3 linked regions of the Sus scrofa genome follow. The protein of the gene in region 2 interacts with the protein of the main gene of each other region in a pairwise test. Links are inferred from orthologs where the notes say so. Each region holds a gene or a part of one and is shown on either strand. Other genes may lie near its edges.

Region 1 (2,535 bases), on a different chromosome or scaffold from region 2:
CTGCTCCTTCATTTGGTTCTCCCGGACTTCCTTCCGAGTATTTAAAACTTGGAACGAGAAAAACGGTTTTGGACAGAAAAACAAAAACAAAAAACTCCCCCTTTCCAACCTTCTCCCCGTCCTCTTCCTCCCCCACCCCATTTTTTTTTTTTTTTTTTTCTCCAGGCTGAAACTTTCGCTTGCCGGTGTCAAGCTGCCAATACAGCGCCCCAACGGCTGCGTCAATGGGGAAATAACGCGTCAACCAAAATCAATGAGAAACGTACATGCCGCAAAGAGCCACATTTCCATCGGGTCTCGGATGGTCAGAACGGCACACCCCCTCGGACACGGGGCAGAGGCAGGGGACATGGCCACGGGGGCCAGCCGGGCTCCCGGGACACCCCGGCCGATGCAAAGTCGTCTCCAATCTCAAAGCAAGAAGAGAAATCACATTTAGAGTCGGGTGCGTTTGGCTTTTGTGCGCAGAGCTCGGCCGGCGCGCGGCAGCCGCGGGCGCCTCAGAGGATCACGCAGGCCGAGCAGCAGCCCTCGTCTCCGTTGGGCTGCGCCGCGTAGTTCATCTGCCGCACGATCTCGGCAAACAGCTCGTCCACCGAGGCTTTGTTTTTGGCCGATGTCTCCATGAAGGGGCAGCTCCACTCCTCGGCCAGGGCCTTGCCCTCGCCGTAAGAGACCTCGCGCTCGCCCTCCAAGTCCACCTTGTTGCCCACCAGGATCATGGGCACTCTCTCGTACCGCTTTACGCGGATGATCTGGTCCCGCATAGGCTTGATGTCCTGGAAGCTCTGCTGGTTAACGAGGCTGTAGACGAGGATGAAACCCTGGCCGTTCTTGATGTACAGGTCCCGCATGGACGCGAACTGCTCCGTGCCGGCCGTGTCCAGGATCTCCAGCACGGACGGCGACGAGTCCACCTCGATCTCCTTGCGGTAGAAGTCCTCGATGGTGGGGTCGTACTTCTCGATGAAGGAGCCGGTCACGAACTGCACGGTGAGCGCGGACTTGCCCACGCCGCCCGAGCCTAGCACCACCACTTTGTACTCTCTCATGGCTCCGTCGGCGCTCGCCCGTCGGGGCTGCGCGCCGTAGTAAGGCTGGGCTTGGCGGCTGGACTTCTACCCTTCCTCAGCTCCGCAGGAAAAACTCAGGAGCGAAATGGCCGAGGAGCGCAGAGCGCGGAAATCACCGAGCGGGGGCCGGGCGCCGGGCCGGCCGGCAGCGGCAGCGCGTCCCTGGGGCGCAGGTCCGGGGCCCCGCAGCAGCCCGCGGCGGCAGCGGCAGCGGCAGCCTGGGCGGCGGAACCGGAGGACAATGCCGGCAGCCTGTGCAAAGCGAAGGCTGCAGCTTCTCGTCGCGGCAGCCCAGAAGGGCGAGGAGGCGGCGGAGGTAGCGGGCTGCGGAGGCGGCAGCTAATTGCGCGTCGGGCCGGGACGCGCGTGGCATGAGTCCCCGCAGAGCGTGCGCCCACCGCCGCGGCCCATGGAGCTCTCTTCCTCAGCCTCCGCGGGGCGAGGGCTTCCTACTCGCCGCGCGCAGCCCGGCCCTCCCCGCCCGGACGAGCATGCCCAGTGCGCCGCCGCCGGCCGCTCCCGCCGGATCCGCTGCTCCTGGTTTTCCAGGGAGCCGGGCGGAGGCGGGGTTGTGGGTGGGGCTCGCGATTTGAGTCGGGACTAGCGGATTCGCCGGAGGCTCTGGTCTCCCAGCAAGAGGACAAATGTGCCGGGATGTGTAGGTGTTTGTGGCGGGCTGGGAGAGCTCCAGTGGGAGGTTGGAGGCAGCCTTCTTTCGCCGCTCTGGGTTCATACATAGGGGCTCAGGCTCTTCGAGAAGCGAGTGGGTGCGGCAGCCACCCCCTCACTCCTCCCTGGGAATAGGGAGGATTGGGCTCTTGCCTCGCATCATTCAGAGCCCGTAGATCCCACTTCCCAGACCCCCGGAGGGTGTGTCTCCCGGGATTGAGACCCAAAGGACGTTTGGGTGTTTGGCGGGAAGACCATCTTCCCCTACCCAAGGCGCAGCTCTTTCTACCCGACCTTCTCTGGCCTACTCTCCCGCACTTTCATCTCTGGGACAAAGAAAACGGGAATGCTGGGTCTGAAACCCTGTTGCGACTAGGGAAAGGGCTGCCTCTACTAACCAGAGCTGTCTTCGGGCTAGGGTTCCGCGGGCCACCCCGCCCCCCCACTCGCCCCCTCCCCCGCCCCAGTCAGCTGGGGCCAAAATCTGGAGAGCGGATTACAGTCCTATCCAAAGCGGCGGTGGCGCCCGCAGCTAGTCAGGGCATGCTCAGTGCACAGAGCAGGTTTGGGGGCTTGGAAGTAGGAAGCTTGTGCACCACACACCCACACTCTAGCTCAAATTACCTCTCCCAGACTCTGGACCCATTGGTCCCGGGGCGCAAATCTCACACCCTCAAATGCTCTCCCATTGGCTACTGCCAAGATCTTATCAGTTTGGGCTGCTTCATTGGCTAAAAAGTAGACTCCGCTCGTGATTGGTTATTTATAGAGATTGAGTTGAGAGGCGGAGGCA
Region 2 (4,214 bases):
GGGAGGGCAGAAGCCAGCGGCCACGTCACTCACACAAGCAGCTGTGGGCCTGTGGCCCGGCCCAGGCCGGGCAGGGAGCTTGGTGTCGCCTGACTGGTGCCAGGGGCTGCAGCTTTAAATAAACTTGGACGCATCCACCTGGGCCGGGAAGCAACACCAACTGCGCTGGGACAGGCCAGGCGCTGTCAACAATCGCCAACATGGCCACTGTGGACCCCAGCCCTGGATGGAGGCGGTGGGGGGCCGGAGGGCCGGACTCTCCATCCTGACACCTGCTCCACTGCAGCGCACCCTGCCTGGCCCTGCCTGCTCCCCACCCAGGACCCCCAGAGGGGCTAGGACAGGCCCCTGAGTGCCCCTCACTGGGCCTGGCACCTGGGGGGCTCCACTGAGGGGTGCTGGGCCGAGCTGAAGCCCTGTGGGCTCCGCAGGGCTGGGCCACTCACAGGGACACGCTCCCCTCCTCTCCCTGGTCCCCCTCGATGGCTAGACTTCTGCCCCCACTCACGCCCGAGGCCTGCAGCTCGCTTCCTGAAACTGCTCGTGTCTGTGCTGATGGGAGAGGAGCCTGGCCTCCACTGCAGCATCTGCCACCCCTGTGGGCCTCCCCCAGGGCAGCCGCAGGGACCTCTCTGCCCAGTGTGGGTGCGGATGGCAGCAGCCAGGATAACCAGTCACTGCTGCTGGAACCGGAGGCCTGCGGCGGTAGGGGGACCACGCTGGGGGGGCCTCTGGTCCAGGCGGGTTCACAGAAAGGTCAAGGCAGGGTCAGCGGTGCAAGCTTCAGGTTGAGGAAACGGGGTGAAATGACAAGAGGCGCTTCTGCAAAGAGACCTGGAGGCGCCTGGCAGGAGGGCCTGGGACGAAGTAGAGGAGCAACAAGAAAGTCCCCTAGAATGGGGTGGCCTTTCTCCCACTGCCACCCTCTGCCTCAGAGAACCACCTGCCGCCATCTGAGGACTGCCAGTGCATCACCCCATCCTCACAGGCCTGATCCAGGCAGGCCCTGGAAGCTTCCTCCAGGCCTGTGTCCTCCGGGCCTCAGGGGTGCACACAGCCTGTGTGCTGGCTGCCCCCCTTGCTCTGCTCTCCAAGGCCCCCTGCCTTGGGGCCAGGCACCCAATCAGCCCCCACCTGAGGGAAGGGAATTCCTGTGTCCCCAGGGCCCCCCACCATGGGCTTTCTCCACTCCAACTCACTCCTCAGCCCCCCCAAGCCTGCCTGGCATCCCCCCTCCTCCAGTGCAGGGAGAATTGGGGAATTCGCACACCCACACACTCCTCCCAGCTCACACCCACAATTATCAATGATCAGCATCCCTCGCCAACACAAGGTATCACCACAGACTTTTTTTTTTTTTTAATAAAGAGGGGGTAGCTGCCTCTGGATGTGTAAGAGGAAACCTCGCCAGGGCCCCCACCACGCGGGAGGGACGGAGGAGGGTGGAGGAGGATGGGTCTCTGGCTGCCGCCAGGCTGGAGCCCGGGGATTGAGCAAGGAGTTCTGCAGCCAGACCTAGGGAGGCCAGGGCAGCCACCCTGATTCGCACAGGGGAGACCCCAGACCAGAGAGGAGCCCATGACCGGCTTTGAGGCAGACCCCGGCGGCAGAGTCAGGTCCAGGGCCTGGCATCGCTCATGCTGGTTAGCAGAGCCCAGGAGCCACCTGTTCCCCGGTGAGGCCCTACCCGAAACGAGCCTTCGAAGTACCTCCCCCCTGCCCCCCCAAAAAAACTCTCCAGAATCCAACCCCCTCCTGCCTCGAGGACCCTGAAATCAGAAGCCCATCAAGTGCCGCTTCACCCCCTCATCTCCGCCCCAGTGACCTGGTCCAAGCTCCCTGACCTCGGCCCCAGCTCTCCAGACTCCTCTTTCCAGAAGGATCTGGGGGAAAATCCTCCAGAACCCCGATTCCTCCGGGGACCCACAGCAGAGGCTGTTCCCAAGAGGCACGGAGTGCAGCGGGCACCCCCCTCGCGGATGGAGCCACGCGGAGAAGCAGGCGCAGAGCAGGTCCCGCCGCCCCCGCGCCCGGCCGCTCGGTGGGGGTGGGGACCGCACAGCCCGCGCGGGGACGACCCTCCGGGCCAGGGCCGCCCCCTCCCCCGCGCTCTAGGCCCCGCGGCCGCCCCCGCACGCCGCTCCTCTTTGACCTCCCGCCGCCAAATGCGTCACGTCTGCCGGGCGCTCCGGGGACACCTGCTGCCGCCCCCGCCGCCCCGCGCCCGGCGGCCGGAGCCCAGGCCTCCGACCAGGCGACCGCGCTGGACAGGGCCCGGCAGGGCCGCGCGCGCCGAGGTCCCGTGGCTGGGCCCCGGGTCCCGGGGGTCGGGGCCGCGCGAGGACGTGCGCTCCGGGCCCCGAGCGAGGAGGAGCCGGGGGCGCGCGGGGCCGCAGTGCGCCCGGGGCCGGCGGCGCGGAGGGTCTGGGTCTCCAGGGTCCCGGCCCTCAGCCCGCGGCGCCCTCCGGGGCCCCGGGCCCGGCCCGCACGCGCCGCGGCTCTTACTTGCCAATATCCTCGTAGAGCTGGTACTCGTCGGTGAAGCGGGTGCAAGTCACCGTGGTGGCCATGGCGGCGACGGGCTCGGCGTGCGCTCTGCTGCGCTCGGGCGGCGGCGACTCCGGCTCCCGCTCGCGGGCACGGCGGCGACACGGGCGCGGGCGCGGGCGACACCTCGGCTCGCGGCGCCGAGCGGGGGCCGGGCTGGGCTGCGCCGGGCGGCGAGCGCACGCGAGATCTGCGCGCTCCGTCCCCGCCAGGAGCGCGCCGCACACCTACGCGCGGGGAGCGCGGGCGCCGCTGTCACCGCCGCCGCCGCCGCCGCCGCGCCCGCCCCGCCCGCCGCCCCCTGCACGCGCCCTGCACCCGCGCCCGCATCCGCGCCCTGCACCCGCATCGGCTCCCTGCACTCGCAACCGCACCTGAGCCTTGCACCTGCACCCACACCCGCATCCGCGCCCTCGCACCCACTCCCGCTCCCAGCATTCGCACCCGCGCCCTGCAACCCTCGCCCTGCACACGCTGCGCTGCCACCCGCACCCGCGCCCATGCGCCTGGGGCCACGCACTCGGGGAACCGCTGGCTCCCGGAGCCAGATTCTCCGCTGCCTCCTGGTGACTCTCCTGCACCCGCGTACACACACACACACACACACACACACACACACACTCACACACACGGGACTGCATATAATGAACCCGGCCCCCTGCTCCCCTGAAGGCCGACCTCGCCCTGGACCTCAAGAGAGAAGACCCAAGTGCACAAGGGGGAGGGGAGAGCCCTCCCTCCACAGGACTCAGCCCTCAGCCCGACCCCCCCAGGAGCAGATCCTCCGGCCCGGCTCTCCACCACTCACACAGCTCGGTCCGGTTTCCCCGGGCAGCAGCTCCCAGGCCAGGCTGCACACAAGGACCCTGGGAGTGGAAGTCGAAAGGGTGGAGGCTGCCCCCTCCCTCATGGTCCTGGCCCCTCCCTCCCTGTCCTAGCACTGGACGCAGGGGTCTGGAATGGAGGCCTCAGGAACAGACTGTGGAGTTTAGGCAGAGGGTCCTGGAATCAAGAGAACAGCACTCAAGGGTCCTGAGAGCTCACAGCCCCCTGCCCAGGAAGGGGCACATTCTCCCTCTCCCAGGCCCAGTCCACCAGCCTGCTCCCCTCTGGCCTGGAGAAGAGGAGGAGGAGGGAGCGGGGCGGGGAGCAGCGGAGGCTGGGCTGACCCGTTTCCCACAGTGGAGCCTCCCTCAGGGCTACAGCTCAGCTGCCACCTAGAACCAGGGCTTCAAAGCCAGCGAGGACAACCCGCTGGACTCCAGCTCCCCCCGCCTCCTCCTCGGAGAGGAAAGGGCCAGAGTCACCCTGGGCAGGCCCTGAGGACAGGCAGTTTCCAGCCGCCAGCCCTGGGTGTGGGCCATTCGGTTGCCCTGACCGGAGCCACTTACCGCACCACGGGTCCCCAGGGGCAGGGTCGGGGCCTGTCCTGCTCATCTCTCTCACCTCGGTGGCCAGCCCAGGACTGGCCCTAGAAGCCACAATACACGCTTCCTGGATAAAAGCTAGAATGAAAGGTCTAGAGGGAGAGGCAGATGCCAGGGCCTCCCCGACCAGGTTGCCTGGGGCACACAGCCGTCAGGCAGATGAGCAGACCAAGTGGAGACCAGCTCCAGCCCTGGTCAGACGGAACTCGCACCCAACAGACGGCTGGAGGCCAAGGAACC
Region 3 (4,082 bases), on a different chromosome or scaffold from region 2:
TCAACCCCTCACCCCAGAGATGCTTCCCATCTCTCCTCCTCATCTGCACCTACCTTGACCTCTTTCTCCAGATAGTCACACAGCAGAATCTGGGGGTCGATGAGGTAGTCGGGGGGATAAAGGGGCATTGAGTGCAAGGGCCGGCGGCTCACGCTGCTCCGACAGGCTGCCCGGCGCCCAGCCTTGGGGAACACCAGCCTCCGGATGGGGGACACGAAGCCCTAGGGGAGGCAAGGGTTGGGGGGAAGAACAGTAATGATGGCAGCTGACTTTATCCAGCACTTATCTGCGCAGCCTTTTACTTAGGTTACCTGATTTAATTCTTGCGAGACCCCTGCAGATGGGGTATGTCTGTGATTCCCATTTTATAGATGGAGAAACTAAGCCTCACACAGGGAAGTAGCTCATAACGTCACCAGCTACTAGCAGTAGAACCAATAGTTCACCCTGGGCAGTCTGGCTCTAATCCTTCCATTCTAAACACCCAGGTGAGGAGTTCCTGTCGTGGCACAGGGGGTTAAGAACCTGGCATAGTCTCCATGTGGATGTGGGTTCAACTCCTGACCTCTCTCAGTGGCTTAAGGATCTGGGGTTGTTGCAGGCTGTGGCGTAGGTCACAGATGCAGCTCAGATCCAGTGTTGCTATGGCTGTGACATAGGCCTCAGCTGCAGCTCCTAGTCAACCCCTAGCCTGGCAGTTTCCATATGCCACAGGGGCAGCCCTAAAACAAACAAACACACCCAGGTGAGGGTAGAAGGCCTGCCCAGGCCCAGGCTTGGGTTTAAGGAACTGGCACAGGCTGGGGCAAGTACAGAAACATATTAACATTCAATGTGGCTGAGTGGCAGGTGCATAGGTATTTGTGAAGCTCTTTTCTGTGTCTCCCTAAATATTAGATGGTTAATAAGTACATTTAAGTGTAACCCAGCGGGCACCTGCATAAAAGTGGCCTGCAGCAAGGTTAAAGGAGCAAATTCCAGGGCCCCAGCCCAGCCGAACAGAATTTAAATTTCTGCAAAGTGTCATCGCTGCTCTAGAGCAATGGTTCTCAGCCTGTGGTTCCTGGGCCTCCACCAGCAGCACAGCATCGCCTGAGAACTTAAAAGAAAGGCACATTCTCATGCTCCATCCCAGACCTATTGGATCAGAACCTGGGGTGAGACCCAGGGATCTGTGTTTTAAACATGCCCAGTTCAAGTTTTAAAATCAGTATTGTGGAGCTGGCTAAAGTACATGGAAGCTCTGAAAAACGATGTGGGAACGGGCTTCAAAGCAGAGGGTATAGCAAGTGTGCAAAACCCTGGGGGCTGCAAGGGCCTAATGAGCAGGAGCCTAGAGAAGTTGTGTTGTAATCCACCATGGCTGAGTGATGAGATGAATAAGTCATCAGGGGCTTGAATGCCAGCTAAGGAGCTGGGACTTTATCTCGTGTGTGGGAGTGTGTGTGTGTGTGTGTGTGTGTGTGTGTGTGTGTGTGTATGTGTGGAGTGGAGGAGGTGGCCCTGAATAGTCCAGCCCTGCCGGCCTTTCCAGCTCATCTCACCCCATACCACCCCTCACTCTTGCCTTCCAGCCATAGGGCTGTTTTTCCGTTCATCCTACTGGCTACATTCCTTCCTATCATGGGGCCTTGCACATGCTGTTCCTCTGCCTGAAACACTCTTCCCTATCCCCTTTCCTCTCACCCATCAGATCTCAGCTCAAACTCACCAGTCTAGAGCTGGGCTCTTAATATTCTCCAGCACTCTGCATGGAACCTTTTATGCAATTTTACACTAATTGCTCTAAAAAAATTAATAGTTGTCTCCCCCATTAGACTGTGAGCTCCAGGGAGGGAGCAGGGACCTTGTCTGCCTTTGCTCACCAGTGCATCACCAACACCAGGCACATCATAGATACTGAATAAATAATATCTATAGAATGAATGAACTAAGAGGGAACAAGCACCCATGATGTGGCTCCCTTCGGAGCCCTCACAATTCATGCAGGAGCCTTTTAAACAGCCCGACCCAGGTTCCCAGGGAGGACGGCTCGGTGGGGGTAGGGGTTGGGCTCCCCAGAGTCTCCCTGGACCCTAAAGACAAACAAGTGAAAGGCCCGGAGAACCAGACTAGACAATTTCTGAGAGTCAGGAAGGGGTAAAGATCTAGGGGGTGGGGGGATGATCCCCAGGCTGAGGCCTTTGGGGAAGAGAGCTGGTCCCTGAATAAAGATGGGGAAGGGGCAGCCTCGTTGGAACCCAGGGTGAGGGTGGGGGGTGGGGCAGGTAGGTGTCCCGAGCCTGGATGGGCAGCCTCAGCACAGACTTGCGCTGCTGAGGTCCTCTGTCTGGGGAGGGAGGCAGGGAGCAGGGGAATGGGTTTGCTCGGTGTCTGCCCCTCGGTCTGAGAAGCTGCAAGAGGGAATCCCCAGGAACACCAGGGAAGCAGGTTGGGAGTATGTCCCAAACTAATCTGGCTGCCTGGGTTTCCCTGCCTGTCCATCTGTCCCTTCCCAGGATGGCAGAGGCCACTGAGAGCAGGGTGACGGGTCAGGGAGCCCAAATGTCTGGCTGTCCAAGGGTGGGGAGGAAGACTTTCCAAAGAAGAAGAAAAGTCTTCCTGACACCACTTGCTGACCCCCCACCCCCACCCCCCAAGGCTTCTCCCTCGTCCACCTCCGGGGACATTTCTCTGCCCTGTATCCCTTCCCACCTCCCACCTACCTTTTTCCCTTTCTTGACTTCATATTCCATGGTGAAGTGTCCCCTGCAATCCGGCCACCCTCCTGGCCACCCCCTCCACCTTCTCCCCCCACACAGTTCCTTTGTTCTTTTTCCTGCCTGGTCGGAAACTCCACCAGCCTCGGAGTTCCTGCCCCTCCCGTCTGATAGTGAGCGGTGGGGAGGTGGGGTGGGGGTGGGGGACGCAGCCTTGGGACCCTCCAGCCAAACAGTGGAAGCCCAGCCAGAGCAACTGATCTGTGGAGGAAGCCCCAGGGCTCCGGCCAGCAGACTCGCTATTCAGGGGGCTTGGGAGCTGAGCCAGGCTGGAAAGAGTCCCCTGAATTTGGAGTCAGAAAATCCCAAATTCCACCACTACTGCTGCCACTGACCTTGCTGTGTGACCTTGGCAAGGCAGGTTAGTTCCCTGTTTCACAGCCTCAGTTTCCCCCTCCCTTTATGAGGGGGGGTGAACATTGCCTTCCTCTCTGGGCTGCTGTGGTAAGAAAGAGTGGGTGGGAAAATGCTTCCTAAGCTACGGAATATTGATTTTGAAATATTCAAGCAAGTCATGATTTTTCAAATTAATCATTGCTAGTGACGGATGTGGTACGCATGGACTTCAGAGACAAGCTGCCTGAGTTGGAATCCTGGCTTTGCCACTTACTAGGGTTATGCTATTGGGCCTGACACCTTTTATGCCTCCATTTCCCCATCTATACAATGGGCATAAGGGCATTCCCCTTGTGTCTCAGAACCTGACTAGTTATCCACGAGGATGTGGGCTTAATCCCTGGCCTCGCTCAGTGGGTTAAGGATCCAGCGTTGCTGCAAGCTGTGATGCTGTGGCATAAGTCACAGATGTGGCTCAGATCCTGTGTTGTGGCTGTGGTGTAGGCTGGCAGCTGCAGCTCCAATTCAACTCCTAGGCTGGAATTTCCATATGCTGCAAATGTGGCCCTAAAACAAAGCAAAACAAAACAAAACAAAACAAGAAAAGAAAAAGAAAATTGGCATAGTACCAGTCTGATCGCAGAGTGACCTTGTAAGAATTAAATGTACTTAGAAAAGTTCCTGGCACATGTGAAGTATTCAATAAATATTAACTACCTACCTGTGCGTCTTTGCGTCCTGGGCTCTTTTACTATCTCCTGGGAGAATAATATTAGACAGTCAGTGCTCTTTCTGTGGTTCTGAGCTGAGCACTTCATGTATTTCATCTTGCTTATTTTTCCCAATATTGGGGTACCATTTAAAATCTGTATACCTGTTATACAGATTTTAAAAACAAGTTCAGCTGCAGAGTCTGACCCAAGGAAGGCTTACAGTGAATGAGAGAAGGACTTGGGACTTCTTTTACTTTTTTTTTGGCTGTGCTCG

Evidence for each region. The genes of interacting proteins can lie anywhere in the genome.
Region 1: the proteins of CAMK2B (region 2) and RAP2B interact in binary tests that used the Homo sapiens proteins (3 or more experiments, as listed by UniProt). The two-hybrid records come from large-scale screens. The link is inferred for Sus scrofa from reciprocal best matches to the Homo sapiens genes CAMK2B and RAP2B.
Region 3: the proteins of CAMK2B (region 2) and CCM2L interact in binary tests that used the Homo sapiens proteins (3 or more experiments, as listed by UniProt). The two-hybrid records come from large-scale screens. The link is inferred for Sus scrofa from reciprocal best matches to the Homo sapiens genes CAMK2B and CCM2L.

What each region holds. Positions count from the first base shown.
Region 1 is NC_010455.5:93,306,629-93,309,163, reverse strand, and holds RAP2B (ras-related protein Rap-2a precursor), read right to left. Parts: upstream 1,053-2,535; coding exon 501-1,052; downstream 1-500. UniProt on the Homo sapiens protein: Small GTP-binding protein which cycles between a GDP-bound inactive and a GTP-bound active form. Involved in EGFR and CHRM3 signaling pathways through stimulation of PLCE1.
Region 2 is NC_010460.4:50,860,811-50,865,024, reverse strand, and holds the start of CAMK2B (calcium/calmodulin-dependent protein kinase type II subunit beta), read right to left. Parts: upstream 2,801-4,214; 5' UTR 2,571-2,800; coding exon 2,506-2,570; intron 1-2,505. UniProt on the Homo sapiens protein: Calcium/calmodulin-dependent protein kinase that functions autonomously after Ca(2+)/calmodulin-binding and autophosphorylation, and is involved in dendritic spine and synapse formation, neuronal plasticity and regulation of sarcoplasmic reticulum Ca(2+) transport in skeletal muscle.
Region 3 is NC_010459.5:35,669,788-35,673,869, reverse strand, and holds the start of CCM2L (cerebral cavernous malformations 2 protein-like), read right to left. Parts: upstream 2,801-4,082; 5' UTR 2,736-2,800; coding exon 2,706-2,735; intron 222-2,705; coding exon 54-221; intron 1-53.